Sus scrofa: one gene and its partners. The protein of the gene in region 2 binds, or shares a complex with, the protein of the main gene of each other region. Links are inferred from orthologs where the notes say so. Each region holds a gene or a part of one and is shown on either strand. Other genes may lie near its edges. The genes, in order: GNB1, CALCR, RAMP1 and RAMP3.

Region 1 (6,768 bases), on a different chromosome or scaffold from region 2:
AGTCTCTGGTGGTAAATAATTCGCTGATGCTACATTCGGTGGTTCCTGAAGCCCCCGGGGTCATGAGGTCGGCTCCTGGCTGGGTTCCCACAGGGGGCAGCACGTCCTGCCCCGGGAAGCAACCTTCTCACAGCAACAACCACGAGCTGGGCACCAACGGGAGGCCAAGTGCCAAAGCGCTGGAAGCAGACAGCCTGAAAGAAGCCTGTACGCGGAAGCCAAGAAAGGCACTGGGGGGGTCTTTTTCTGGGGCAGGGCCCACCTGTGGCAACCGGCCACCACAGGGCCACACTCACAAGTCAGGCCTGTGGCCCCAGCTTCTTGAAGAGCCAGGAAAGAGGCCTCTGGGCAAGCACAGCGAGAAAGTGAAAGAAGAAACCTCGAAAGGCAAAAGCCACAGGAGGCCCTAAAAACCACACAGCTGACTGCCCACATATCTGTCTAAAGCACTCGGTCAAGACAGCAGGGCCACTGGCCTGGCTGCCGCCTGGCGGGACAAAGCGCCGCTTCTTCAGGAGCCTGCCCGGCACCCGGCTCACCAAGTCCGGGATTCCCATTCCAAAGTCCTAGATGTTGGAGTTCCCGTCGTGGCACAGTGGTTAACGAATCCGACTAGGAACCATGAGGTTGCGGGTTCAATCCCTGGCCTCATTCAGTGGGTTAAGGATCCGGCGTTGCCGTGAGCTGTGCTGTAGGTTGCAGATGCGCTCGGATCCTGCGTTGCCGGTGGCTACAGCTCCGATTCCACCCCTAGCCTGGCCACGGGAGCGGCCCTGGAAAAGACAAAAAAAAAAGGAAGAAGAAGAATCGACGTTTCCAGATAAAGGGGACAGAGGGCCCACTGCAAGCAGATGTGCAGCCACGATGAGGACTGGGGGCCCCCAAAGGAAAGCTCGTGCCTTCGGGAGGAGAAGGGTGCACACGAGGAGTGCTCGAGGTCCGAGGAAGTGCAAAAGCCTGGGCACATTTCTTCAGGAGCTGAGACGCTTTCAGAAAATAACAGTATGTTGTGAGAGCTTTAAACACACATAGATGCAAGAGCTATGAAAACCTCGTCAAGAATGAGGAAGGGCAGAAAATGGGCATTTACGGCAGCACAGGGGTTGCATCTTATGTAAATAGATACTATGTTACCTCCAAGTGCACCGTGAGAAGGGTACGGATGTACAGGGCAATCCCCACATAAGCCACGAAAAACCACTGCCAGAAGGTAACCCAAACAATCCAAGAGAGAAAACTAAATTTCGACACCATCAGGCAACCCGAGAGGCGGCAGGAAAGGAGAGCACGTCACAGGTGAGGGAGCTAAACCCACTGTCCCCACACGGTGGGGAGCAGAAACGAACCCACACACTTGCAGGGCAGAGGCACTGAGAATGGATAAACAGCAGGAGCCAACTGTATGCTGTCTCTAAGGGACGCTACTTCTAACTACAGTTAAGCTGAAAGGAAACAGACGGGAAAGAGGAAACTGTGCAGGCACTAAGCATAAGAAGGCTGCAGCGGCCACAAGAACATCAGGTAAAGCCAGCTTCCAGCAGAGGTTCCACACTGCGGAGAAAGGGTCAGCGCCTCCGGAAGACACGACAGCCAACGCGCACACACGCGTGCACTCACAGAGCTCAAAACACACGAGGCACGGATTCCCAGAACTGAGGGAGAAAGGGAGAACGCCATATCCTCAGGGACCTTAACCGCCCCGCCTTAGCAACTGACAGAAATAAAACGAAGCCAGAGAAGACCCCAGCGGCAAATCCTGACGACCACGCTGAGAACCTGCCCGGCAGCCTGGCTCCTGCATGCGGCCTGTGGCTGTCGGACCACTTGCTCCCCCGAAAGGAAGTCCCCAGGTAGGTTAAAGACACGTGCTCCAAACAGGAGGCACTTAGTTAGAAATCAGTAGCAAGTTACCTATGAAAACTTCAGCTACCTGAAAATTAAGCAACACTTAAATGACCAAAAGGGATTAGGAATGTTTCACACTGAGTGATAATAACATGGCTAAAGCCACACTTGGAGGACAATTTATAGCTTTGAGCACATGCATCTGAAAAAGAAGGACGGCCCAAGGCCTTCTAAAAACCTAGAAAATTACAAAGAAGTGACCGTAGAGTAAGCAGAAGGCAGGAAATAATGTGAGACAGAAGTCATGAAATACAGTCTACCTTTAAAAGGACAAAGGACAGATTTTTTTTTTAGGGGCCACACCTGCAGCATACGGAGGTTCCCGGGCTGGGGGTTGAATTGGCCCTGTAGCTGCCAGCCTACACCAGAGCCACAGCAACGAGGGATCCAAGCTGCATCTGTGAGCTGCACCACAGCTCCCGGCAATGCCAGATCCTTAACCGTCTGAGCGAGGCCAGGGACTGAACTCACGTCCTCATGGACACTACTCAGGTTTGTTACCGTTGAGCTGCGACGGGAACGCCTAGACTTTTCTTCCCCTCCTTTTTTTGGCCACACTTGCAGCACGTGGAGTTCCTGGGCCAGGGATCAGATCCGAGCCACAGCCGTGACCCACACTGCAGCTGCAGCTGCAGCCACGCTGGCCAGTGGTCAAGGCCGCGTCCCAGCGATCCCGCCGCACCGCAGCAGGACCTCCAGGGCAGACTCTTTCACTGGTGAAGACGAGCTGAAGAGACCACCTGTCGGGGCCAAAAGCACTGCTAACGAGATGACCCTCGGGAGCGTGCGGCGCGCAGGAGCCCAGCAGGGGTAATAATCTGAACTGAGAGCACAGCCACAGAAGCAAAGTATCAGAGACCTGCTTTTTTCAGAAAGCCTACATCTTTTGTGACTGACAGTAACTAAACAGGGACGCCCGGTGGAATGACAGCCCCGGGCCGAGCTGACGCTGTCCACAGGCGTCAGTCCCGGGCTCTCTCCCGAGTCCTTGGGGGGAGGAGGTCTCACATGATCACAAGGACGGAGGCTCCGTCGCGGCTCAGCAGGAAGAACCCGACTGGTCTCCATGAGGACGCAGGTTCCATCCCTGTCCCCGCTCAGTGAGATCCCCGTCCCCACTGCCGTGAGCTGTGAGGTAGGTCGCAGATGTGGCTGGGATCCTGCATGGCTGTGGCTGTAGCTGTGGCGGAGACCCCTAGCCTGGGAACCTCCATATGCTGAGGGTGTGGCCCTTCAAAAAAAAGACCACGAGTTCCCGTCGTGGTGCAGTGGTTAACAAATCCGACTAGGAACCATGAGGTTTCGGGTTCGGTCCCTGGCCTTGCTCAGTGGGTTAAGGATCCGGTACTGCCATGAGCCGTGGTGTAGGTCACAGATGCGGCTCGGATCCTGCACTGCTGAGGCTCTGGTGAAGGCCAGCGGCTACAGCTCCGATTCGACCCCTAGCCTGGGAACCTCCATATGCCGCGGGAGCGGCCCTAGAAAAGGCAAAAAGACCAAAAAAAAAAATCAGTAAGGATGTTTGTGGATAGATGTGTGCATGTGTGTACACGTGTGTTTAGGTTAGGAAATTCTCGTGGAACGGGACTCAAGATGCGAGCCGGTTTAGGACGAGAGGACAGAGGGAACTACACTTTGTGAGCAGGGAGACACGGGGCTCCCAGCGCCCGAGGGTGCCCTAAGTCCCCGGGATCCTTGGAAAGCACATGCTACGGCCACTTCAATTCAAAGGCTTCTCACAGGTCAAGGTGCACCGAGGCCTGCCTTGGACTCCCTCTTTCACACTGTTTCTGGCTGTTACTGGGACCAATCTCACTGAACGCTTGGCGAGAAGAGGCGAGTGCCCGAGGCGCCTGACCATGCCCGCGCACCCCGTGTCCACAGCCTGGAGGCCGGGGACGAGCACACGCACCTGTGTGTCCGGCCAGCTCCCGACTCACACGCACGTTCCCTTCGCGAGTTTTCAGATTGTAAATGGAGCAGATGTTATCCAGGCCACCGCAGGCCACGTAGTTCCCAGAAGGCGCATACGCGCACGTCATGACCCACGAGGAGCGCAGAGGGATGGCGTGGACCTAGATGACAGAAGACACACGATGCGGGCACGCGCAAGGTCACACACCCCCAGTCATTCACAGCTGACACTAGGACTCTGCTGCTGGTCTTCAACTGTCATCGCATAGCAGGTGACCCAGCAAAACTGGCCAAAATTATTCTGAGACTAATTTATACGTGTGGCCAGTCAGATAACGTAGTAACTGAAGCAGAAATGCAGTGAGCACCACTTCCGTCTACCGTTTTGTGAAAGTCACAGCATACAATTCGGCAGGCTCTTAAGTAAGAGTGGCACAGCCTCCAAATCAAAACTCGAGAGTAAACGGAAAACATTTCACGGGCCTGTCAAACTGTCGCAAAATTCACTTACAAAATGAAGTCTTTTGTATTGAAGTAATCGAGCTAGATGTTATTGTAATTGATCCTGTGCTTGAGACAGGTGCTGCAAGTGCTGGAATCTCCTCGGGTATTCTCCAGTAAGATACCACCGCATTGTATCTGTTACACATGTTTAGACCAACGGCGGTCCTTTTTTCACTCAGTGTGATACAATCTTGGGCTAAATCTTTTAAAGAATTTAATTTACACGTCGAAATGTCTTTCAGGTTACTTCCTGAAACACTGGTAACCAGAGACAAAGCTCCGTTTTGTATGTCCAACTAAAACGCAGACCTTCCCGGCTTGAGCTAAAACTGGAATCCAGGCTCCCTCCACCTGCCCCGTGCGGCTGCCACAGGACCTTTGGGACTCGACACCACAGCGGCGCTGGCGGGCCCGCCGCGTCCTGTGCAGCGAGCCCGGGGCTGCCTCTGCAGGCAGGGGTGCGGCCGGCCTACCTTGTTGGTGGTGTAGCTGTCCCAGATGATCAGCTTCCCGTCCTGTGAGGCACTGACGAGAAGCCTGCGGGAGAGAGACGAGAGCACGCGTGTCAGCACCGCAGCACGGAAGCCACGCAGAGCCAAGGGGAGACTGAACGTGGGGTGACTGACACGCGCATCACCTGGACAGCTGCTCGAGACAGAGCACGCTTAGTTGTAAGGGAAAGAAGGTACAGTTGTCAGGCCAATGTCGAAAGCATTTAGAAGTAAATGTGCCCACTGACCCTAGTGAGATTCAAAGCCTGCTTCTCTGCTGGCAGCACCCAGGCCGCTTGCTCAGAAAAGACAAGCTGACTTCCCGCACCTGCTTCCGTTCCGTTTCTCTTCACCATCAATCAGGTCTGAGCCCCAGAGGTCTTTCATGAGCCAATGGTAGTATAAAAGACTTAGTCTATAGCTTTCTGTCCCATTCTGACACACAGAAAGCCTAAGAAAAAGGACTAATATGTTTTCAGATACTCAAACCTTGCGACAATCCTCACACACATGCACAAAACAACAACCCCAGGACAGTGTCCCAAACTGAAGTGAACCTGGGACCCAGGCCCGCTAGAAACAGCAAGGAGGCACCCTCTCCACCTAAAGCTTTCCAGAGACGACAAAGTGAAGCGCGACTGTGCCGGGTCCAGAGAGACCAGGAACTATTGTGTTTCTCATGCCATTTTCTTGCTCTGGTCAATGGTCCTACGTTTGAGATCTGTGTGTTGAAAAGGTGCCATCCGTATTTACAGGATTAAGCAGGAAACCGCCAAAGGAAAGCCTGACAAACGGGCAAAGGAATTTCAAGTGGGAGTACATCCTGAAGAGCACAGCTACTCAGGACAGCCCAAGAACCTCTGTTCTCCAGACCGCGGTTGGCGAGCACCCGCAGGAAGGCTCCCCGTGACCCCAGGCAGAGGGGTCAGCACAGTAAACAAGAAAGACAGCGCTGGCTTCGGAGAGCTCACCCACCCACACACCAGGGTCAGCCCTCTCGGCCACGAGCACATCTGGCGTCCCGAACCGATGGAGACCTGGAGGAAAATCACCTGACTCTCTGGCAACCCCCACTTTTCCTCCACTTGGTTCTGCCGCTTGCAGCACGGAGGCTGCTTAGGGCTGAAAATGCTTTAGCGTGGCCTATTCTGAAACTCGTCACAGAACTAAAGGAAGGCTCCAATCCTGCTGCTTTTGGACGCGGATTCTCGCGTCGAGGTTCGGTTGTAAACACATCCGGCACGTCGAAGGTGCCTGCGGCCTCGCATCGGGCTCACTCTGCGGCTCTGCACTGCTCGGCGTGGCTGCAGCGGCACGTCAGAGCCCCGTGGAGAAGCTCATCCTTGGGAGGGTCACCTCTGCGGGATCGCCTGGGCAGAAAGCTTAATATCTGCTGACTCGACCAGGGGCTAGAGGGTGTTAAGCAGCCCCCCTTGATCCTTCAGAAGGTGAGAGAAGACACGCCGCTTAATCCCAGGCAGGGCGACGTTGGGAGAACTGGGTTCCTTCTGCCTCCCAGAGCCTTCGGCTATCCCGAAGCACCTACCACCATCCGAACCCAGTGCTGAGAGCCAGGAACGAAGCCTTGGGCTCCCGGGAGCCTTGAGCAGAGGTCCAGGCGCGAAGGCCTCAAGTCCCTCACTCGCCCAGAGGACAGAGGCTTTCAAGCTCCTGGGTTAGCTGTGATTTGCTCTCGATTATAACACTCCAGTAAGACTTTAAAAGGGGGAGACATGGAGTTCCCCTTGGGAGTGCTGGGATGCCGGCTCCATCCCCAGCCTGGTATAGTGAGTGGGTGAAGGATCTGGTGTTGCCACAGCTGTGGCTTAGGTTGCAACTGAGGCCAGGATCTGATCCCTGGCCTGGGAGCTCCATATGCTGTGGAGCAGCCAAAAAAGAAGAATTAAAATTTAAAAAAAATTAACAGGGGAGACAAAGTTTAACATGAACTCAC
Region 2 (6,768 bases):
AAGTCATAAATGACAAAGATCTTACTTTGTCTTTTCATTACAAAGATTTCCTCCTTAGCCCAGGACAACTTAATTGAAAGTAAAATGAGGACTGAAACATTTATCTGTAAAGTGTATGCAGTGGTCACAGCTGACCCAGACGTCATTTTTAATAACAACTTTTAAAAGGAAATAATTTGAGGTATAATATACATTCAATACAATGGAGATTTTAAGTTTACATTTGGGAAGTTTAGACAAAATGTATGTACCTGTGTAACAACCACTCCAAATAAGAAAAGAGCATTTCCATCACCCCAGAAAGTCCCTTCTTGCTCCTCTACTGTCAACAACTCCCTCGCCCTACCTCAAGTAACTGCTGATTTCTATTACCACAGAAATGGAATAATACATAGTGTGTATTTTGTTGTGTCTGGTTTCTTTGGCTTAACATACTATCTTTGAGATTCATTCATGTTATGTATATTGGCATTTCATTCATTTTTACTGCTGAGTAGTATTGCATTGTGTGAATAAAACACACTGGAGTTCCCGTCGTGGTTCAGTGGTTAGCGAATCTGACTAGGAACCATGAGGTTGCGGGTTCCATCCCTGGCCTAGCTCAGTGGGTTAAGGAGCTGGTGTTGCCGTTAGCTGTGGTGCGGGTTGCAGACGTGGCTCGGATCCTGCGTTGCTGTGGCTCTGGCATAGGCCGGCGGCTACAGCTCCAATTAGACCCCTAGCCTGGGAACCTCTATATGCTGCAGGTGCAGCCCTAAAAAAGACAGAAAATGAAAAACACATATAATTTTTTTATTCATTCTCTGGTTTGTGGAAATTGGAATGGTTTCCAAAATTTGACTATTAGGAAAAAACCTGCTATGAATGCTTGGATACAAGTCTTTGTGTGGGCATTTGTTTCCATTTCATTTGAATAAGTACCTAGGATTAGAACTGCCTGTTCCTATAGTAACATATGTATAACTTTTTATGAAACTGTCAAACTGTTTTCCAAAGAGGTGGCTTCATGTTACATTCCCTCTAGCATTCTGTGAGAATTCCAGTTGCTCTTTACTATTGCCAGCACTTGGTATGATTACTCTTTTTAATATCAGCCATTCTGGTGGATTACAAACTACTTTTGGCTATGTAGACTAATTTTGAAACCAAGGTTGTTTTAAAAATTTAATTGATTATTTATTTAAAAATTAGAATGACTTTCCCACCTGGAATAGAAATAAATGTTGCTCCCCCAAAAATTCAAGAAAGGATAGGGACCTTTAATGAAAACTGAATTCTTATGGGGTGTTGTATAAATATTCAAGACCCACGTTAGTAGGTCCTTGTGATCATACTTGAACACTTAGTAAGTACGTCACTACTCTGAAAAGCACTGAAAGAAATTGAATTTGCTTTCAAAGGCCAGGAAAATTAGAAGACAGTGTGGGTGATCAGTTACTAATGCATACTTCTTCAGTGCAGGAGCAGAATATGGTCTATGCCTTTGACCGTTTTTATTTTTCTTACCTTTATCTGAAGCAAACACAGGGTTTGAAATTAATGAGGAAATAATGTCTATATTAAATTTGATGGTTCTGATGTGGCCAACATATAGTAAACCATGGGTATAAATAAAGAGCTTGGATATAAATTCAGACGGTCTTGTTTTCTCCTGGCCCAACTTCTTACTAGTCATGTGATTTTGAGTGACTTAACTTGAATCTGTGGGTCTAGTGTTCCTAATGAATAAAACATCTTGATATAACAAGAAGGGCTGCTGTTAGGAACAGCATGGCAGTGTATGTGAAGTGCCTGAAATACTTTAAGTGCATGATTAGTAGTTGTTATGGTGATGGCTCATGGACCAAAGGTGAAATGGAAGGTGGTTTAGTTTGCCAGAGCCCAGGGGAATTTAGTGCAGGAGGACTCTGTGGTCTCCACTTTCTTATCAGCAACATCTTTGTCTTTGGTCTTTACCTTTAAATCAGAGAATTTAGTTATAGAATTTTTTTTTTTAAAGCAACCCAGAAACCTATATTGTTTGTATGGCTTGTACAGAAATGGGCTTATGCTCCCTCCACACAATTACATTAAATAAAAACTATTTTTTAAAAGGACTCTCAGATCAAATTGCTCTTATTACAGATGATCATTAAATTATCCTCATTTTGAAGTTACAATATGTATGCTACATAGAACCATCCTCACAGAAAACTCCACAGAGACAACACTGTTGATTGAAAAGGCAATTCTCACCACCAGTGCTGCCATGACAGGGCCGTGGATGATGTAAAGCAGGTTGGTGTCCACACTCAGCCAGCAGCTGAAAATGAGAGGAGGGAAGATATTAATACAATTGCAATTTATTTACAAACATGTTAACTACACCCCACAATACTTACTTGTCATTGAACAACACTGCCCTAGTAATGGCATGAGCAGTAGTTGGAATCAGCGGGAACCCTACAATGTGAAAAGGTAGAAAAGCTAGTTATACAGCCGTATGGAAAATGGTAGTTTACTTTCAAGAATAGTGGCACATTTAACATCTTGTCTATATTGCTCTGATGTTTTTGTGCAAATCATTTTTGGTCAAACCAGATCAAAGGTGCTCTTAGAACATCATGTTCTTTCAGAGAGTTTGGTTAAGAGTATGCGGATTATCAAAAACCTTTTTCCCAAATCATCTAATCTGGCAGGAACACTATCACTCTTGCTTCATTAGAATACCATTGTTACATCTGTGATGATAATGATGGTTTAACTAAGACCACAGAGCTTTTTCCTGTGTGGGAATAGACGGGAGCTACAGTTGTCCAGGAGGGAAGTGGCCTGACTATGAAAAGCCATGGTCTGACTACTCCAAAGACTCGATGCTCATGGTATTCTAGGATTTTTGTTTTCCTATTTTTATCATGTGCATTGATCCTCTTTTCTTTCACAAAGAACAGTTCAGAGTAGCTAGTACACACCCTAGCTTCTGTAATGGCTGCAGGACCTTTATTAAAGCAGCTCACTATCTACTTCCCTGAAGAAACTTTAAGGGCCAGTCAAAAACAACTTTGAATTTATAAAAGGAGCAATGAAGACAGCTGCTGGCAATGCATCCTGTCAGGCTGACTCTTTTAAAAATCAATCTTCATTCTATAAAAGTAATCTAAAGTAAAGTTGTAATTTTTGTGGGGAAAAAAAAAAAAAGATTATCTTTTTCTTAGATGTACCCATGCACAGGAGAATATTGTTTGATTTGGTTGAGATATTTGTAGAAAGGGTTTTAAAAATTATCAGATTTAGAAATGTCTCAGAAGTGAATTAGAGCTACACATCTTTATTTTCTGTGAATTATATGCCAAAAGAGAACAACCAGAGCTTTCACCTAAGAACAACCTCAGCTTCTTAACCCATGAAGCATATCATTGATTAAATGTTTGACTTGAAAGAATTTTGAATTTGACTGTGTACACAAAACATAATTGTGTTTCATTCATAGCCATTCTAACATACCATTTTCCCACTCAGGTTTAGAATCAGAAATTCACTCTCTGATGTATCCTGAAATACACATTTTAGAATTAGCCAGCAAGAGAAGCACTATGGCTGTCTTACTTCCACCTCATCATATGGTAGAAAAGAAAACGTGTGTCTTACTTAATGTAGGGCAATAAAGACTGGTATCCACTAATTCCCAGGGCTGTTTCACCTTCATCTGGTCACTATGCCTCTTTTTATGCAGTTTTTCTTTCCTTTGCCTCTTCTCCCTCCAGGCTTCAAGAGCCGTAACAACCTTTCCCTCCCACTAAAGAGGGTGAGATGTAAGAATAATCCTCTCTGCTAGGAACCTTCTTCAGGGGCACTAGATAAATTCTATTTGTTCATTATAAAAGTCCATGGGGGGAATTTCCTTCTTTGATTTGTAACAAGGGGAAAACCCAGCAAGGATAGGAATCAATCTGAAGAGGGTTGTAAAATAAATGATTTTTTTTTTCCTGAGAACTAAACTTCAGTATTTGAAGTTGCTTCTATTTGAGCAAAATTGACCAGTAAGTGGTCTGGTACAGACTTGTAAGGAAAGAGACAACTGAAAGAAACATTTCCTGTTGGGGACAAGTTCACTACCAGAAACGCTGCACTCAAAGGGTGATGGTTATAATGTCTCTTATAATTCTTTAGGATGGAGTGGGTACTATTCATCACAGCTGAAATGAATGGATGAAATCATTACCAGCAAACAAAGTCAGGTCTTAGGACACAGTTTTCTTGGGTCAAACTTCCTGCTGTCCCACTTTCAAACTCTTTTCAAAACACAAATTACACCTTATTTCCTGGCATTGGATCTAAAATTTAGGACCTATCATACTGTTTTGGTGTGAACACAATTTCCAAAGGACAATCAAGATGTTATCCAGCAGAAATTTCTTCTTCTCTGGCACCTGACGTGAGATAGCCAGGACAATTACAAGCTTGATTTCTAGCCTTACTGGATGGTTAAAATGGGTGGTAAAGAAAACCCCAGGATGCTGAGCTCTTGGGGGTGGGGGGCAGCACACAAGATGAGGCAGTTTGGGGGTGTAGTCTAGAGGCCTGTCCAGGTCACAAAGACCTCCCTTCTATCTTTTTCTGGATGTGTTGCCATCCCCAGACATGTTTGCGCTGTGTGACAACATCTCCCTCAGTGTCCTTGGCTATAGTTCATTGAACCATGGCTGGCCTCCTGACTTGACATGGACCCATCAGATCCTCATGCACTTCTATTCAGAACTGGGAGTTAATGACAAAAGTTTAGTTTCTCTGTGTCCCTGGAACATAAAAATGTGAAATCAGGAAGCCTTGGGTAGACTGTATTTTCCATTAGTACTGGGGAAGAAGAGACCCTGTGATCTGTGGTCTGCAGAGAAAGTGAAGGATTAAAACAGATCCTAAGAGAAAAGGAGAGAAGACAGAGGGAGAGAGCTCCTGCTTATCTGGCCTCAGGATAATAGCCCAGCTGCATTCTGGCTCTTGACTTCCATGAGATACGCTTAGAGTCTGATAATTTCTTTTTCTGATTAAATTAGAGTATCTTATTCTCTGTTACTTGCAACCAAAGAGCCACAGCATCATCAGTTCAACTTTGAGGCAACCCAAATATCTGCCCTTTGACCTACCATTAAAGGACTATCCCACAGGGTTTGGGTAACGTTATTTGGTTAAAATCTATCTCCTCCCACTAGGGAGGGGTGTTAAGAAAACAAAGATTTCATCGGGCCCTCCGGTGGATTAGACTTTGCGCTGCTTATAAGACTTCCCTGAAACATTTCTATACAGTTGGTAACAGTATCTGTTAGGCAGAAGTTTAACTACAAAGGGTAATGTATTTAGACAGCTTATGGATTACGCTCCCTTCTCAAGAAAGCCTGCCTCTCTTATCAATGTTTTTAGGGGCTCCCCAAAATACTTCATTAAAGGGCAGGCTTAGTTGAAGGCAATCCACAGCCTCCACTCCAAGAGTCACCTTGTCTGTGCCTAGTCAGGGCAGCCCTTAGCTCTGCAGACAGTGCGGAATAGCCCTCAGGGTCTTCCTTCCAGATGGAAGTTTCACAGAATGTGTTTTTAACCCAGAGCTTCCCCCCATCTCATTGCCCTATAATCTATCTGCTCCCCTTCCACCACTGGGAGCTGTTCTTTTAGCAGCCCTAGGGGAAGGGGAGCATTCTAGACAGTCCTCAAGAACCTTAACTTACTCAATTGGTACAGAAGTAGCCACATTTCAAACAATCCTACTATAAGCTTTTCAAAGCCATTGCCATGCACTATAATGCCAGGTAGGTTCCATTTGGATGCCCATGTGGTTATATCAATTGCTAGCTGGACTCCACTTCCTGAACTTTCACTGAGGAATCCTGCTGATGGACTATGAGGAAGGAACATTCTTGTGGAAGGGAAGTGGGGCCAGGATAGGCTAGGTACATAATTCAAAATGTGAGGTTCTTTTTTCTCTAGAAACAGGTGATAAACCAAACTGAAGAGGGTCTAATCAGATGGTCTCTCAATCAGGGCATGTTTTCTCTCGCATCTGTTAGCTGGGTTTGTTTCCTGAAGACATTCCCCTCCTCTACACTCACCCTCATGCTCAGCACAGTCTGTATGAACTTGTCAAACACTTCTACCAAGTTCTCACAGAGACTAAACCCCTGTCAGCAGCCGTGCCCCTCTCTCCTCAAAGGACCTGGGCCCCGACTCTTCTCTGAGACCAAGACTAGAAGAAGATTGTAAATATACAGACAGAGGTAAAGATGGCTCAAAACTCAACTGTGGAAAATACCTACCCCAGCCCAGGACATGATACCACCACAGGCGCTGTCCCTCAGCGAACACGGACACCACGATCAGAGTGTGAAGATAGACCCCCTCGCAGAGCATCCAGAAATAATTGCATGACATCATGTACTGGTGGAAGAAGTGCAGAACCTTGCAGATCGGCTGTTGGAAAGAAATGGAGATACTCAGTGGAAGACACTGGCAAGGGTTTGGCAACAGAGTGTGTGTGAAAATGAGCCAGAGTATCTGCATTCAGCCTGAAAGGCAGTTTCCTCAAGCATCTGTCAACACATGGCATCAATCAGAGTTATAGTGCATAGATTATATTACATATAAACCAACAGCCAACCAGAGTAATGGATGCCTAGTCCCCCAAATGTTCTTTTCTCGTTACATTCTGGTGACTTATATAGACTAGACAGGTTTATTTTCCTGCCATGTGTCTGAGACCCATTTTTGACAGAATCCAAGAACTTGTCACATGACTTCTAT
Region 3 (7,271 bases), on a different chromosome or scaffold from region 2:
AGGACCCAGTAAAGCCACTTGAAGTCCTCTCATAGTCCTCTGGGGCTTTGTTCTTTTGTTTGCTTAAGCCTTTGTTCTGAGATGTGGTAGTTACTTGGAAATCATTTTGATCTTGTCAGTTCTTGCTTTTAAGCTTTGTTAGGTGGCCCCAGGACAGCCTGTACCACTTTTCACAACTGCAAAGGCAGTGACTCTCTCTGCTGTTCTGCGTATCTCAAGGTTTTGCCACTACGGCTGGTGGAGCTGGAGCTTTTCCAGCCCCCGGTGAGCATCTAGGGAGTCTTCCAACCTGCTCCTTGCCAGGGGGTGTTCTTCCTGCCTCGGGCCGTGTCCTCCTGTGCCCGTGGTGACCAGTGTTGAGCTAAGACTCAAAGGGGACCCTTCTGCGGCTTTTCTCTGCACAGCTCTTCCTCTCAGGTACCCCGCAGCCCTGCCGTTCTCGCTGCCTGGCTTCCCCGTCTCTGTCTCCCCAGCTCTGGGAGCCCTTGGGCTCTGTTTGGGTTCTCCTCCCTCCCTGGGTCTGGAAGCTGCAGGCGGCGAGCAGCTGTCAGGGTCACCTCACTTCCCTCCCCGATCTTAGGGGTCCTGCCCTCACGGCCTCTGGCCCAGTGTGACCACTGCTGTTTCCTCTGTTTTGTCCAGTAGTTTGGTGTCTGGGGAGAGGGTACATCCACTCCCTCTGACTTTGTCGTGGCTGGAAGCGGAAGTCTTAGGTTAAGTTTGAATTTTGACCAGGTCACAATTCAGTGTTGGTCAGGTCTTGTTGACCTGTCTGGACTGTGTCTTTAACCCGACTCTGCATGCAGTAAAGCACGTGGCCCTTTTCTCCCCTTTTCCAGAGTTTAGCCTAGCATCCAACTGGATGGAGGCGCCCAGGGAGAGGGATGCGTTTGCATGCTACCAGCTGGAAATACAAATTCATTGGACAGAATCTAGCCAGGGCAAAACGGTCAACTCAGGTTATGTGTCGTGGCTGTAAGGACATGTGATAATGGGTCTGTCTCTCTTTCTCCCTTTGCAGAAGGGAAAACCCATAGTAATTACTGGGGCCTCTCTCATCCAGACCCAAGGCGCAGATAGGAAAACCACTGGGGGAGAGGGTGCATGCTGTGGACACCAACTCTGGCGTCCCCAAGAGAAGTGTGAACTTCCGAAGTCTGTGAACTTGAGAAATAGGCTTTTTGCTCCGTCTGCATATCTGTTAGGTGTGTGTGCGGAGCTAGAAGGCAGAGGACTTCTGCTGCCCAAGCCCTGCCTCCTGCTGCCCTTGAGCCTCGAAGAGAGAATGTTGCAAACAGTGGTGCAGGTGTAGGAGTCCCGTGCCCTGAGCAGTAAGAGGGGGCTCAGCTATAAGAAGACGCGGAGAGGCCCACACGCCAAGGCTGGAAAGGGTGGCTCCAAGGGGCCAGTGGAGGCTGGGTCTGAGAGGAGCAGAGATGCCTGCCCTCCCCCTCACTGGTGCCCAGGTGGCAGTGGACCTGTCCTGGGGTTGGGCTGGGGCCCCACTCATCTCCCCCAGCCGTGCCTTTCCCACCTGGCATGGTCCCCGGTCACTGGCCCTTTACTCTGGCCTGCTGCGCTCCCATGCTCTCTTCCCACCCAGCCCTCAAGACGTCCTGCGCTGCAGCTCAGCTGCGTACCAGGCCCCTGCGTGTGACTGAGACCTTCGCAGGTTCTTCACTAGATGCACCAGCCGCAGGGCGAGACCTGCGTCCTTTACCTGGCACAGCTTTGCACATGGCCGGGACTCAAATGTCTCTTAATATTTAAGTGAGGGAGGCCGGGCCACCCATGGGGGTGTATCTTCCTAAGGTTCAGCAAGAGGGGCCACTCAAGAGAGCCTGTGCCCCCTCCCATCTGACACAGACCCCTCTGGCCACCTGGGAGTCTGAGTCAGATGCCACTCAGGTTGTAGGCCTGCCAGCCTTGAGCGCCCTCCCTCCTGTTCTCTGAGCTGACAGCAGGTGGCCCTCTTCCCCCTCGTTTAGCAGGGAACGGCTGACCACGGAATCCAGAATCCGGCACTAGGCACCCTGCTGAGTCCAAGTGATGTGACCATGGCTGTCGGGGTAGCGACCTCCTCCTCCAAAGGCAGCGCCTGATTGCTTAGCATGAGCATAGATGTACCAGTGGTTCAGCATTCTCCCTGGAATAGGCTGGTTGTAGGTCTCAGACTCGGCCCAGGTCTGGCCTGTTGCTGTGGCTGTGGTGCAGGCCGGCGGCTACAGCTCTGATTTAGTCCTTAGCCTGGGAACTTCCATATGTGGCAGGTGTGGCCCTAAAATAAAAATCAAAAAACAAAAACAGAAGGCAGTACTGCAAGGCCAAACCCAGCCACTAGTAGAGCTTAGAGAGCCCAGGTCAGCTTGGCTCCCGGGCTGACGCCTCCCGAGTTTATGCCTCAGGTCCGACCCAGGCTGGGGAGGCCTGCTTAGGCTTCCCAGGGCCCTGGTGCGTGCGTCCCCCCAGGGAGCCCCGAGTCAGAACGACATCCAAGGCTCTCCCAGCCTCCTGCCTCTCACCACCCATCACCCTACGCAGGAGGTCCCCCAAAGAGCCCTCCGCCCTCCAGCCCCAGGAGCTTCGCTGTGCACCTTCCAGGCACCTCCGCCGCTGCGCCCACACCCACCCTCATCCTCGGGCTCCTCACTGGCCCTGCGGCCTTTGAACACCGTGAGCCCCTGCGAGCGCCGGGGCTGGTTTTGTCCTCTCAGGACCCCAGGACCTGCACGTCGGGAGAAGCAGAGGGGCAAGGGTGGCCTCGGCCTTTTGCCAAGCAGGCCCCCGCGGCCGGAGTGGGCTCTTGGACCTAAGGAGAGGGGGATGCTGCCCGGGCTGACAGCGAGAGGCCGGGTCTGGGAGACCCGCCGCTTCCGGAGCATCCACTCGTCGCTTCCCGGGGGGGGGGAAGGGTCCCGGAGACGCCACGCGCAGCCCCCTCGTCGCCGCGCTGTCAGGGCTCCTCGCCGAGGGTCGGGCCGCCTCCAGGCCTCGGCCCCCGCCCCCGCGCCCCGCCGGCAGGTGCGGGCGCGCCTGGCTTCCCCGCGGTCCGCGCTCCCTGCCGCTCCCGCCCCGCCCCGCCCCGCCCCCGCCCCCGCGGGGCCGCCGCCTCCTGCCGCCGCCCGGCGGGCTCAGTCCTCGGCGGGGCGCGCGGCGGGCGGACTGGGCGGACTGGGCTCGGCTGCGCGCGCCATGGCCCGGGGCCTGCGCGGCCTCCCGCGGCGCGGCCTCTGGCTGCTGCTGGGTGAGTAGCGGGGTCCCCGCCGCCCCGGGGCCGCGGGCGGGGGCCGGGCGGGCGCCTCCCCGGGGCCAAGGGGCAGCCGAGGAGGCACCGCGGGATCGGGGTTCTGCGGGGCGCCGGCCGCTTCCCCGCCCCGCACGCCGGGGGCGCAGGCTCTGAGCCTGGGGGCAGGCACCTTGCAGATTCAGGATGTCGCCTTCGGCACCACGGGCCGTTTATCTAGAAGGTTATAGCTAAAACTGAACCTCTGACTGTCACATGCAGACGTTGCTGATGTGCAAATAAGCCCCCTTTGCAGGTGTCCTTTGCAAAAGGAGGCCAGCTGTCCTCTTCGGGGACATTTGGACAGCTTTTGCTTGTTTGCTTGCTTGTCAACTGGCGCTTCTGGCTACTCGAAATTCAAGGAGGGACTCTCGGTGGGGTAGCAGGACGTGCTGGGCTTTCTGCTTTGAGGCAGATCATAGACGGAAACCCAGTAGTGACAGGAACGGGTCCCGCCTTAGAAAAATTAGAGAAATTGTCATCTTCACTTCCCTGTCCTCGGTGTTTTCATAAAGAGCTAATCAGCCTTCCTAAACTGCTTTAACTATCGGTTGAATTTCATGTATTTACTTACCTTTTAATAAAAGTGAAAGAGGTTATTTAAAGTGGAAGAATCCAGGGGCCCTGGGAAGCCCCCCCCACCCCAGGCATTGGTGGCACTTGGGTCCTTGCTTCAGAGCAGGTGATGGTGGCCAGAAGCACCTGCTGCACGGGTCCCCTGGGTGCAGGGGGGCCACCACACTTGGAGCTGCAGGAGAAGTGGCTCAAGGGGCCTGTGGCCTGTCTGGGAAGAGAGGGGCTGCGGATGGGATGCCTGGGAGCCCTGCAATTCCCGTCTCGACCGGGAGTGTTGTTGGCTCTGCAGAAACCCGTAGCATCTGCCTCAATAGCCTATAATCGGAACGCTGTTTTGGCTAACGCTGTGTGAAAAGCACAATCTTAGAATAATATTATTCTGTTCTTTTGCATTGGGAATCTATGGGCTTGACGTGAAACTTATTGTTTTAGTTTCCTAAGACGTGAACATTTCTATTTGCAAGTTGGAGGGCTGGGTTGGGTCATTTTTAAACATAAATAAATAAATGCCCTTCCCTGATGTCCAGGAGCTGCACCCTCCGTAGCTTGTCTAAATAAAACCCTGTATCATAAGCGCATATAAAAACCTTCCTTGTTGACCAAGAAAATGGCAACATGTTCGGTGGAAGTTCAGAGTCCTGTGATCTTACCAGTATTCTGAGAGGTCTGGCTAAGTTCTGTCTTGGAAACATAAACTTTATGAGGTTATCAGTGAAGTAGTGTCGTTCGAGCCCAGCAGTAATTAGGATTTCAAGAGCACACAGTTTTCTTTCCGAGGGTTGGCATTAACCAAATCTCCTTGGTGATGAAGATTTTGCTGCCCAGAGGAGCAAGGTGGAATTTCTTGTTTTTCAGCAACCAGAAAAAAAGCGGCATTTCCAGAGGATCCAGGGCTAGTCTCTGAGAACCTCATTGTAAGCTTCTGTTTTTATGAGCCCGCCTGCACTCAGGAGTCCTGGCTGAGCCCGTCTTATAGGAACTCAGCTGGCATCTTTCCTGGCATGAAGGGGAGAGGGACGTTTCTTTGCAAGGCTACTGCATTTATTGAAATACATGGCTTTATATAAATACAGGGTTAACTTTTTGGAACCGACTGGGACATGGCAAGAAATGCAACAGATGCAACTCTCTTTTGGATTGTCATGCCGTTTTAAGTCTAGAGGCAGTTCGAATCCTGGAGTCCACATCTGAAGGATTCTCCTTTGCTAATCAGCTCGGTGTGTTCCTCTACCCTCTTTCTGTGTATTTAGCTGCAGGGAGACATTTCCGGATTATCTTCCTTGCACAGGTGCCTGCCCGTCAGCCCCAGGCCAGGGTTGTTTACGTCCGCATCGGAAGTGGTGGCAGCAACATGTCAAGCTGGACTCCTTCCTTTCTAAGGCAAATAGCCAGCTGGGAAAGTCTGTTCCTCCTGATTTTCTTCCCCCAGAATGAAGCGGCGCCCCAGCTTCTACTCATTTAGAAGTGGTGTCAGCAGAGGGGTGTGGGCGCCCCGTGTGGCATAAATCCCAGCAGAGATGCTGAGCCCCCAGTGGTGGAGCCCTGAGAGATTGGCAGCCAGCATCCCTCTCCTTGGGGCACAGAGCCTTCCTTTCCTGGTCCACCTGGCAGGTGGGCTCCCGCCTCTGTGCGCCCTGGCCCAGGCCTGCCTGCTCAGGGCAGGGCGGGAACCCAGGCTGGGCCGGCTGCTTTCTGCTGGAGCCTTGGGGGGAAGCCAACTCTTTCCTCTCAGCCGGCTGGATCTGAGTGTTGGGCTGCCAGATCCCATCCTGTGCCCCCGGGCTGAGTTCTCCTGACGCTTCCCAGCGCTTGGGTTGACCCCAAGAGGTGGACCTTTCAACCCTGTGACCCTGTGGTGTCTGAACCAGGTGTGTCTCTTTGCAGGACAGTGCCTGGTGGGGGGCAGATCTGGTGCCAGTGGGAACCTGCCCAAGAGCCTCTTTTGCTCCTGGGGACTCAGGGAAGACCTGGGGCGGGAGGTGCTGCGGCCGCTGGGAAGGGAGAGGAGCGGAGACGGGCCGGGGCGGCGGCTGTGGCCTCCTGCACCTGTGCTGGCCCTGGGCCCACCTTGCTGTCCAGCGTGCTCCTGGCTGATGGAGACGGACGCGAAGCGAATGGGTCCTGCCCTCCCCACACATGGACACACACGGACACACAAGCACGGAGCCCCCGGAGGGATGTCCCCCCCCCCCCCCCGCCTGCCCCGCCGTGCCTCTCCCCCCCAGGATGCTGGCCTTGGGCTGGGGACGTTTCTAGAGAACTCGTTTGTTCTTAGCCAGGAGGCTCCCAACCTCAACAAGAACTTATCCTTTGTAATATAAGGACGTTCTTGTCCACGGGGAAACTTTTTCCTCCTCAGATTGCTTGAGTTTAGTGTTTTCTCTGACATCCAAAGACACCGCTTCAGTCCCCCGTTGGAACACAGACTCTAAGCAGCTTCGTTGGTGCCGAGTCCACGGCCGGGCAGCGGGGGAGCGAGGGGCCCTGGGTCTGAGCATCACACCGCAGCCAGGCCTTCCCTGCTTGCCCCTCATCAGGCCTCGCGGCATCTCCTTTGTGTCCCCAGTGGCCACACCCGCCCTCCCAGGTGGCACTCCTGCCCACGCTTCTGTGGGACTGGAGACCAGAGAGCCCAGCCGAACCCCCCTCCACCAGCCCACGGCCACTCTGCCCTCTGCCTGCGGTCCTGGTGCCCAGGCCCCGTGCAGGCAGCACCCCCTACAAGCCCTCCGGATAACTACATGGCCTCCAGGAAGCCGTTTGGGACCCCCCCCCCAGCCACCTCCCCCGGGGCAGGTCACCCTCCTCTGTGCCCCTCATCCCTCCACACGGGCAGTGCCACCCTGTGTGCCTCGGTTGCACCCAGGCCAGCACACCTCGAGGCCCCTCCCGTGGGCATCTCCTGCCTTCGCTGAGGCTTTGCTGGAAACCAAGGGGCCCAGGAGCAGAGGGACCCAGGCCAGCGCCCCGCTGTGCTCCCCAGGGCTCTGCGCCCCCACACCCAAGGGGCGCACGGGGGAGGGCTCTGAGCCAGGCCTCACCTGGGGGCAAGGGACAGCAATTTACCCAGCAAACGATGGATGTAACGCCTGCCACGGTGGCACGTACTCTGGCCAGTTAGCGACTGGAACGAAAGCAGTTCATGTGTCACATAGCAAACCCCACGTTATGGGAAGAGGCGTGAAAGGCATAGTCAGTGAGCAGAAACCTGGTGACGCCCCAGGTTGGTGCTCTCTGCTGGTGCCTTCAATGCATCTAGAAGATTCCATGGATGCGTTTGTGAGAGGAGGGCTGGCGGCAGGCTGGCTGGATGAGCAGATACGGGAGCACTGGGGAAGCGCTCACTCTTTCTCCCTGATACATAGCACGAGTGGGTCTTGTGGCCCTGGAATCGGGGTTCTAGAAGGTAGAG
Region 4 (7,308 bases), on a different chromosome or scaffold from region 2:
TTTTGGCTGCACAGGCCACATGTGGAAGCTCCCAGGCCAGGGATTGAACTTGTACCACAGCGGTGATCCAAGCTGTTGCAGTGGAGGGTTAACCGCTGAGCTACAGGAGAACTTTACTGTTGAGAGAACTTACTCTTAAAACCATTACAAGAAAGAGAAATGACCGAATAAATATAACACTGTGTCAGTCAGGGCTGGTCAGGAGAGGGAAGCTATGCAGTAATTGGCACAGGAGAGGCTGATACAGAGAACTGGGAAGGGAGACGGGACGGTCTACGTGGGGAGACAGGACACAGCTGTAGGGGCACCCGGTCAGCAGACTCCTGGGGGCCACATCTTTGGGGGAGTACATCAGGGGCCAGGTGCTGCCTTGGTGTATCATACATGTAAGTGGAACTGAGCCTCCGAATGTCACAGGTGAGAAGACCCAGGTGCAGGGGTAGCTGCCTTCTCGCTGGGTCTCAGACTCTGGGGTCCAGCTGTATAGGTGGAAAGCAGCCCCCACTCCGTGCTGCCCTCTGGGTGGCACTGACTGTCAGGTCACCGGCAGGCTAGCAACACCACTCAGGCTCATTCCTGAGGGCTTGGCTTGCTCCAGGGAGCCTGGGCCCTCCAGGAGCCACACAGGAAGTGCCTGTCTTAGGGGCTCTTGTGCCCATCCAGTGCCTGGGTTTCCCAGAGGACCTGGCACATGTCCCAGGAGCCTGCAGAGGCCCCTCCTCAATCAACATATCTGCTCTTTTTCCATCCGGTGGCCTGCGGCCAGACAGGAGTGAGGAGAGGACCCTCTAGGCCTGCTAGAGAAGATGGCGTCTGATAACCATGTCTTCCCACCTGTTCAGGTGATGGGGCTGCAAGGAGGAGTCAGATGAGGCTGCTGGGCTTTTCTGAGCCAGCTGCGGCCATCTGGGTCCTCCTCGACTCCACCTCCATCTCCACTCGTGCCACCTCTACTGTACCATCTCCGCGTCAACCACCAACTCCACCTCCACCACCATCTCCACCTTCACCACCTCCACTTCCATCACTCTGTCCATCATCTCTACCTCTGCCACCTCCACCATCTCCGCCTCCACCAGCAACTCCACCTCCACCACCATCTCCACCATGTCCACCAACTCCACCTCCACCACCATCTCCACCTTCACCACCTCCACTTCCATCACTCTGTCCATCATCTCTACCTCTGCCACCTCCACCATCTCCGCCTCCACCAGCAACTCCACCTCCACCACCATCTCCACCATGTCCACCAACTCCACCTCCACCACCATCTCCACCATGTCCACCAACTCCACTTCCACCACCATCTCCATCTCCATCATCTCTACCTCCACCAGCAACTCCACCTCTACCGCATCCACTACCATCTTCATCATCCCCACCTCTATCACCTCTGCCTCCACCGGTACCATCTCTGCCTCAATCACCAGCTCCACATCCACCTCCACCACCATTTTCACGGTCTCCACCATCTCCACCTCTGCCACTTCCAACCTGCATCTCCACCTGAACCATCTCTACCTCAACCATCACCTCCACCTCCACCACCACCTCCACTTCCATAATTTCCATCTCTATCCCGCTGTGGGCTCAGCACAGGCTCCTTTGTCCTCACCTCTGTCCTGAGAATGGGGCAGGGATGTTATTCTCTCCAGCTTCAGATGGAAAATGCTAGGCTCCTTGAGGGTCTTGTGTTTTGGATATAATGGAGCCTGGCTGGGTCTATGTCTGTGCATCTTCCCTTCTCACAAAAACCACCTGCACCAGCAGTCATTTGCTCTGTGGGGGCACAGGGGAGAGGAGCTAGAGCCTTGCTTCTCATGGACTCCTTCTAACAGGGGCAATGGGGCAGCCTGTGGGCCCTGGGAAGTTTGCTGTGGGAGACCGAGGAGCTGCATGGAGGTGGGGGTGCAGGGAATGAACCTGCAGGGACATCAGAGCCAGGATGGGGGAGGGGAGGGCATCCTGGAAAGAGGAGAAACTTTATCCAGCGCTGCCTCCCAGGGTGCTCATTCCCAAGTACTGGTGGTGTGCGGAGCACGGCCCCAGGGGGCAGACTTCAGGGTGCTGTCTGGTCTGGCCCCCTCTGATGACCCACCCTCCTGTCCCAGCCTGCTTGTGTGCAACCATCTGTGGGGTCTGGCCTCACCTCTCCTGTGGAGTGGTGTGGGCCTCCGTGATCCTGTGGCCTCCTGGGACACTGGTGACATCTGAACTTGCTCTTGGTTTGTCTCTCTTGGTGCAGGGCATCTGAGAAGGGTGGCTGGCAGGATGCACGGATGGAGCCTGCAGCCCCTGCCAGGCCTGGGTCACAGGAGGTTCTGGGTCATTCCTGCATCTGTGCTCCCCACCACCTTGGGCAGGCTGGTTGGTCAATTTTAATTAGCTTTAATTCCTCCTTGAAATAATTCTGGTTCTTAGCAGAATAAGCGCAGAAATCCCTTATTAAGTGGGCTTCCTAATGCAGGAAAGGTCAGCAGGGCTTATGCGAGGCAGCTGTTCAGCAACGCCTGCGCTAGAATCCTCCCACACCCCCGGCCTTCCAGGCCGGGTTAATTCCTGCCTCCCCCACTCAGAGAGGCGGAGGCCCTGGCCAGGTGGGGATCCCTCCTGCTCATCCCTCTGACTTGGGATGGATGCTCCGGCTAAGAGCAGTCAACCCCTGAGGGGGTCCTACCTTCCCAGCCCTGCTCCCTGAGCCCTCAGACCAGCATGTCTCTGAGCACTGCAGGGCAGAAGGGTTTCCACCCCACCAGGTGACAAAGTGCCCAGATGTCCATGGGGGCCAGGGTCTGTGCTAGGGGATGAGTGACAGAGGCGACCAAACCAGGCTACGTGACCCATGGTAGGAGAATCCTGAGTCCCTCCTCCCTCCCCTCAGAGCCCATGACACTTCTTTAGGTCAGGTCATTAGGGACACCCAGTCATGCTCCAGGCCCTCTTTTGTCCCCCGAGGCCTTCAGAAAGCACAGAGCAAGCACCAGGGCTTGAGGACCCGGGCCATGGGCAGTGGTGTGTGTGCAAGTGTAGGTGTGTGCACCTGTCTGTGCCCCATCCCCTCTGGTCCGGAGGGTGCAAAGGCTCCAGCGCAGGGAGGCCCCCAGCAAGGATTGGGGCCCACGGGAACTCTAGAGTCAGTCACGATTCACCATGAGGGTTCCTCGCGGCACACAGGGACTCCCCCACTCCCAGCTAGCTCCCTCCTCAGGGGGGCTCCCTCTCCGCACCCCCTCCCCCCTTCCCAGTCTCTCTTGTCCCCCCGCGCTGCACAGCACCCCCTCTCCAGACACCTCCCCGAGCCCTTCTGCGGGCTGGGGTAAGGGTGGGTGCACCTGCCGGATCCCGTCTGCTCCTTGCCAGGCTGCCCACCCCTCTCCGGTCCCCCTGCCCCGCCGGACGCCGAGGCCCCACAAGCGCGAACTTGGCATGGGCCTTGCCCCTGGAGCAGGAGGAGGGGGCTTGCCCCGGGGAGGGGGTGCCTCCTGGGGGAAGGACTGCCCTGTGGGGGAGGACATGTCTTGGGGGGTCAGGCGTATCCTAGGGGAGGAAGCGTCCTGCGGGGGAGCGTATCTCGGAGGAGCACGACCCGACGGAGGGCCCCTGGGAGGCTGAGGCGGGGGGAGGCGTGCATCCTCGTTGTGGGAGCGCGTCCTGGGGTGGGAGCGCGTCCTGGGGTGGGAGCGCGTCCTGGGGTGGGAGCGCGTCCTGGGGTGGGAGCCCCTCCCGGGGGCAAAGCACCTCCTGGGGGCGGGCTCTCTGCGGCCCCACCCCCCCGCCTGAGCTCCGCCTCCGGGAGCCCCTAGCGCCCCCAGCGGGGACGCAGCTGTATCGCTTGCCGCAGCTGGACTGCTCCCGCCGCAGCTGGACGGCGCGCCACAGCTGGCTAGCCATGGAGGCGACAGCGCCGCGGCGCCGGCACCTTCTTCCGCTGCTGCTGCTGCTGCTACTGCTCTGCGGTAAGAAGATGCTGGGTCGGGCACGGGGGCGCCCCAACCTCCTCGGGGGCCACGGGGACCCGCTCGGCCTTCGTCCTCCCGCACCCGCACCTGGCTGCACCTCCTCCCCTGAGCCCACCAGGGCGAGCCCCGTGCGTCCTGCTCCGGAGGGGCGAGGGGTGACTCGGGGCTCTGTCCCCAGGCTCCTCTCGAGCTGATGGCGACGGATCAGACTAGGACGGAAGGCGCGGGGTCTCCCTCGGGCTCTGCATCGCCAGTGAGCTGGGCCTGGGCCTGTTGCTCCCAGCTGCGATGTCCCCCTCGTTGCTGCCCGGGGGCTAGGGTCGCCACGGCAGCGCGACCTCCTATAGCGGGCGTGCCCATCTCTCCCCCTGTGAGGCAGTGCATTCCTTGTCCTGAGCTCGTGCGTGCGCGCCATGCACGGGGGTGTGGAGGAGAGGAATCCAGCACCGGGAGGCCTGGACCTTCCCTGCGGTGCCTGTCCGCTTCCAGGACGGTCCTTCAGTGTAAATGTGTGTGCGTGTGTCTGGCTGGAGGGGGCAGGGGGCAGCCTTCTGAGGTTTTACCTCCCAGACCCCTTCTAAGCTAGAAAACACCACTCCTGGGGGGAGGCATGGCTCACAAATAGGGAATGGATTGAATGAAAAGCTTGCTTTGCAAAATCGTTCTAAAGAAATCATCTAAGAACAAGTGACAGGGTCTGGGCGCTTGGGGAGGGCTTCCTTGGGCGAGACGAGGTGAGGCTGGGTTGCAGAGCAGGGTCTGAGCCTGGGCGGCTCTGGGAGGGGAAGCAGGTGGGTCCGGCGGGGTGGGGGTGGGGGATCCCTGGCTTGGTGGCCAGGAATCCCAGGCCCTGTCTTGGGGAGGGCACTGTCCCCTAGGTCCTTTGGGATGCTCCCTTGCCCTCACTGGCCTCTCTGACTGTAAGATGCACAACTGGGCTTGTTTGCAGTATCACTGTCAGCTTTGACCATCTGGCATTTGGAAAAGGCTGCATCAGCTCACTGACATCTTGAATTCTAGGTTACCTTTCCAGAAGGTGTCTGGGGGGAAGAAGGTGTGACTTCATTTCATATTCCGGTGTTAGAGCCCTAGGGTCAGCTGGATTTTTGGGTTGAAGGCAAGGGTGATGGGTGATTCCAGAAAGCAGGAGCACACTGAGGCAGGATCTGTGACCTTCGAATGCAAAGCCCTTGGAGGAGGAATCTTCTGATTGGTTTCGAGGGAAGCTAAGGCTGTCCTCACAGGGCAAGGACCAAGACAGAAATCTCTCTTAATAACCTCGGGCCACGTTGGCACAGTTCTGGAGGCCACCTCATCTTGTCTCCATCCCAGTATCCCCCTCCCTTGGAGCCAGGATGGGGCCAGGCCAGCTTCTCAGCAGACATCAATCCAGTGCTTGCCTGGTCAGAGTGAGGGCCCCAAGAGCTGGCTCGGAATGAGTGAGGGAGATGCAGGCAGGTCACATGCTGCTTTGTCATGGGGGAGATGGGGGCCACATCAGCCCTGGAAGCTGCTGCCTCTAGAAGGAGGATCCAGGGCTGCTGGCTGCCTATGCTCTGGATCCTGACACCCTGCTTGTCCCTGAGCTGCCTCTGGGCTGTGTAAAGTGGGGGAATCTGGTCTGGGGTAGTGTGGTCCAGCAGCAGTCTGCTCAGCTGGGCTCTGCCTCTGAGCTTCTATGTGTGTTCCCACCCAGAGCTGGAACTGAAAAGGTTTAGCTGCTCATTGCTCAAAAGTCAATGTTCTAGAGACAAGGGTTGGTGGGGTCGGGGGGAAGAGGCTTTATTCAGGAAGCTGGCAACCTAGGAAGATTGCAAACTAGCGTCCTCCCCAAACCATCTCTGAGTTGCCAATCAGAGGGCAAGAGCTTTTAAAGGAAAACTTCAAGGATATGCAGCTAGGGGGCTACGTGCAGAGCAGCACTGCTCAAAATGGAGCAGCTTATGTCATGGCTGCAGTCTGATCATCACGCAGTTAGATTTTTCCCTCTGGTGGTGGTTTTAACAGCTGCAAAACAACTCAGGAATGTGCATCACACACCGGACCTTGCTATCTATGTTCTTCAGAGAGGAACTAAAGATTCTGGAAGCACTAAATGGCTGATTTGCTCTTTGAACGGTTACCAGTCTGTAGGCTTAACTGCTATTTTTGTCATTACATGTCTACATCCTTTCAGTGATTCAATCATTAATTCTTCTTCTTTTTTTTTTTTGGCTGTGTCCGCAGCATGTGGAAATTCCCAGGCCAGGGATTGAACCTGCCCCACAGCAGTAACCTGAGCCTCTGCAGTGACACTTCTGCAGTGACACCTCCGGACCCTCACCTGCTGGGCCCCATGGGAATTCCTCATCATTCATTCTTGAGCCAGGCTATTTGTGACTCTGGGGAGGTCTCAGGAGACTAAAGCCTTCTGGGCTTTGGTACCTGAGGGGCCCCACAGGGTCCTGGTAGGTTTCAGTCCTTCCTTTTCGGTGATATCCCCCCACCTGAAGAGGCACAGGTGCGGAACATGAAAGCGAATAAAATTTTGGATTGCGAGGTTAGTCATAAACTTGGCAGTGGAGTTTGGTTTTCGTTCCATTTTTGTTTGAGCTGTTCCTGAATCTTTGCAGAAACGGGGTGACGATTGCTCTAGGTATTTCCTGCTGAAACAGGGTGTGGTCTTGCCTCAATTTGGGGTGTGGACACAGAGTTGGAAACAGTTCCCAGTTCCAAGTGTAGTATCAATATTTTGTATTATGAAAACGTTACTTCTTTCTGTATTGCTTTGTCAGAGCACCTGGACAAACATTTGAAAATTAGTAGACATATTGCAATGAAGATAGTAATGAAAATGCATCTCTGTATTTTTTCCCTTAGTGGCTAAAGCAGATGTACATTGTATGTGTAATATACAGGCTGTTTTGGTTAGCCTGAAGTTCCCATTAAATCATGTGTAAACCAGGATGACCTTTCCATACCTTTTTTGTTTGTTTGTTTTTACTTTTTAGGGCCGCACCTGCAGCATATGGAGGTTCCCAGGCTAGGGGTCGAATTGGAGCTGCAGTGGCCGGCCTACACCACAGCCATGGCCATGCCTTATCCTTAACCCACTCAGCGAGGCCAGGGATCAAACCTGCAACCTCATGATTCCTCGTCGGATTCGTTTCTGCTGTGTCCTGATGGGAACTCCCCCCATACCTTAATCTGTGAAAATTTCTTCTATCATTTCCCCCTTTTGATTGCAAATCTTTCAGTCGAAAGCATTAATGATCCCAATACTTGTCCCTTGATTGTGGTTGCTGCCTGCTCTGGGTTCACCATGTCTTGGTGTTAGGCCTCCTTTTTTGTCTATGTGTCTGCCTCG

Evidence for each region.
Region 1: the proteins of CALCR (region 2) and GNB1 are in contact, whole or in part, in a cryo-EM structure (PDB 8F0K), measured with the Homo sapiens proteins. The link is inferred for Sus scrofa from reciprocal best matches to the Homo sapiens genes CALCR and GNB1. Residues at the interface, in NP_001158210.1 of Homo sapiens: Arg174, Ser175, Arg404, Gln408; in NP_001269468.1 of Homo sapiens: Thr47, Arg52, Phe292, Ala309, Gly310, His311, Asp312, Trp339.
Region 3: the proteins of CALCR (region 2) and RAMP1 are in contact, whole or in part, in a cryo-EM structure (PDB 9AUC), measured with the Homo sapiens proteins. The link is inferred for Sus scrofa from reciprocal best matches to the Homo sapiens genes CALCR and RAMP1. Residues at the interface, in NP_001158210.1 of Homo sapiens: Arg45, Lys46, Met49, Asp50, Gln52, Tyr53, Tyr56, Asp57, Met59, Gln60, Gln61, Thr75, Trp76, Asp77, Gly78, Asn124, Arg126, Phe235, Leu238, Ile242, Thr246, Val250, Ala251, Gln257, Arg258, Trp261, Tyr262, Leu265, Phe269, Ile276; in NP_005846.1 of Homo sapiens: Trp59, Ile63, Tyr66, Arg67, Ala70, Asp71, Phe83, Trp84, Pro85, Val89, Asp90, Phe93, Leu94, His97, Gly98, Phe101, Ser103, Arg109, Ala110, Val111, Arg112, Asp113, Pro114, Ile118, Leu119, Phe122, Ile123, Pro126, Ile127, Val129.
Region 4: the proteins of CALCR (region 2) and RAMP3 are in contact, whole or in part, in a cryo-EM structure (PDB 8F0K), measured with the Homo sapiens proteins. The link is inferred for Sus scrofa from reciprocal best matches to the Homo sapiens genes CALCR and RAMP3. Residues at the interface, in NP_001158210.1 of Homo sapiens: Arg45, Lys46, Met49, Asp50, Gln52, Tyr53, Lys54, Tyr56, Asp57, Met59, Gln60, Arg74, Thr75, Trp76, Asp77, Gly78, Asn124, Arg126, Phe235, Leu238, Ile242, Thr246, Gln257, Arg258, Trp261, Tyr262, Leu264, Leu265, Phe269, Ile276; in NP_005847.1 of Homo sapiens: Cys57, Leu59, Ile63, Tyr66, Glu67, Thr70, Tyr83, Trp84, Pro85, Gln90, Ile93, Thr94, His97, Arg98, Phe101, Ser102, Cys104, Val106, His110, Leu111, Glu112, Asp113, Pro114, Val118, Leu119, Leu122, Ile123, Pro126, Val127, Leu129.

Annotation. Positions count from the first base shown.
Region 1 is NC_010448.4:63,875,816-63,882,583, forward strand, and holds part of GNB1 (guanine nucleotide-binding protein G(I)/G(S)/G(T) subunit beta-1), read right to left. Parts: intron 4,861-6,768; coding exon 4,797-4,860; intron 3,981-4,796; coding exon 3,818-3,980; intron 1-3,817. UniProt on the Homo sapiens protein: Guanine nucleotide-binding proteins (G proteins) are involved as a modulator or transducer in various transmembrane signaling systems.
Region 2 is NC_010451.4:73,293,930-73,300,697, forward strand, and holds part of CALCR (calcitonin receptor precursor), read right to left. Parts: intron 6,439-6,768; coding exon 6,285-6,438; intron 2,443-6,284; coding exon 2,382-2,442; intron 2,303-2,381; coding exon 2,236-2,302; intron 1-2,235. UniProt on the Homo sapiens protein: G protein-coupled receptor activated by ligand peptides amylin (IAPP), calcitonin (CT/CALCA) and calcitonin gene-related peptide type 1 (CGRP1/CALCA).
Region 3 is NC_010457.5:137,487,264-137,494,534, forward strand, and holds the start of RAMP1 (receptor activity-modifying protein 1 precursor), read left to right. Parts: upstream 1-3,176; 5' UTR 3,177-3,192; coding exon 3,193-3,244; intron 3,245-7,271. UniProt on the Homo sapiens protein: Accessory protein that interacts with and modulates the function of G-protein coupled receptors including calcitonin gene-related peptide type 1 receptor (CALCRL) and calcitonin receptor (CALCR). Required for the transport of CALCRL to the plasma membrane.
Region 4 is NC_010460.4:50,339,686-50,346,993, reverse strand, and holds the start of RAMP3 (receptor activity-modifying protein 3), read left to right. Parts: upstream 1-2,248; 5' UTR 2,249-2,274; coding exon 2,275-2,370; intron 2,371-3,844; coding exon 3,845-3,959; intron 3,960-7,308. UniProt on the Homo sapiens protein: Accessory protein that interacts with and modulates the function of G-protein coupled receptors including calcitonin gene-related peptide type 1 receptor (CALCRL), calcitonin receptor (CALCR) and G-protein coupled estrogen receptor 1 (GPER1).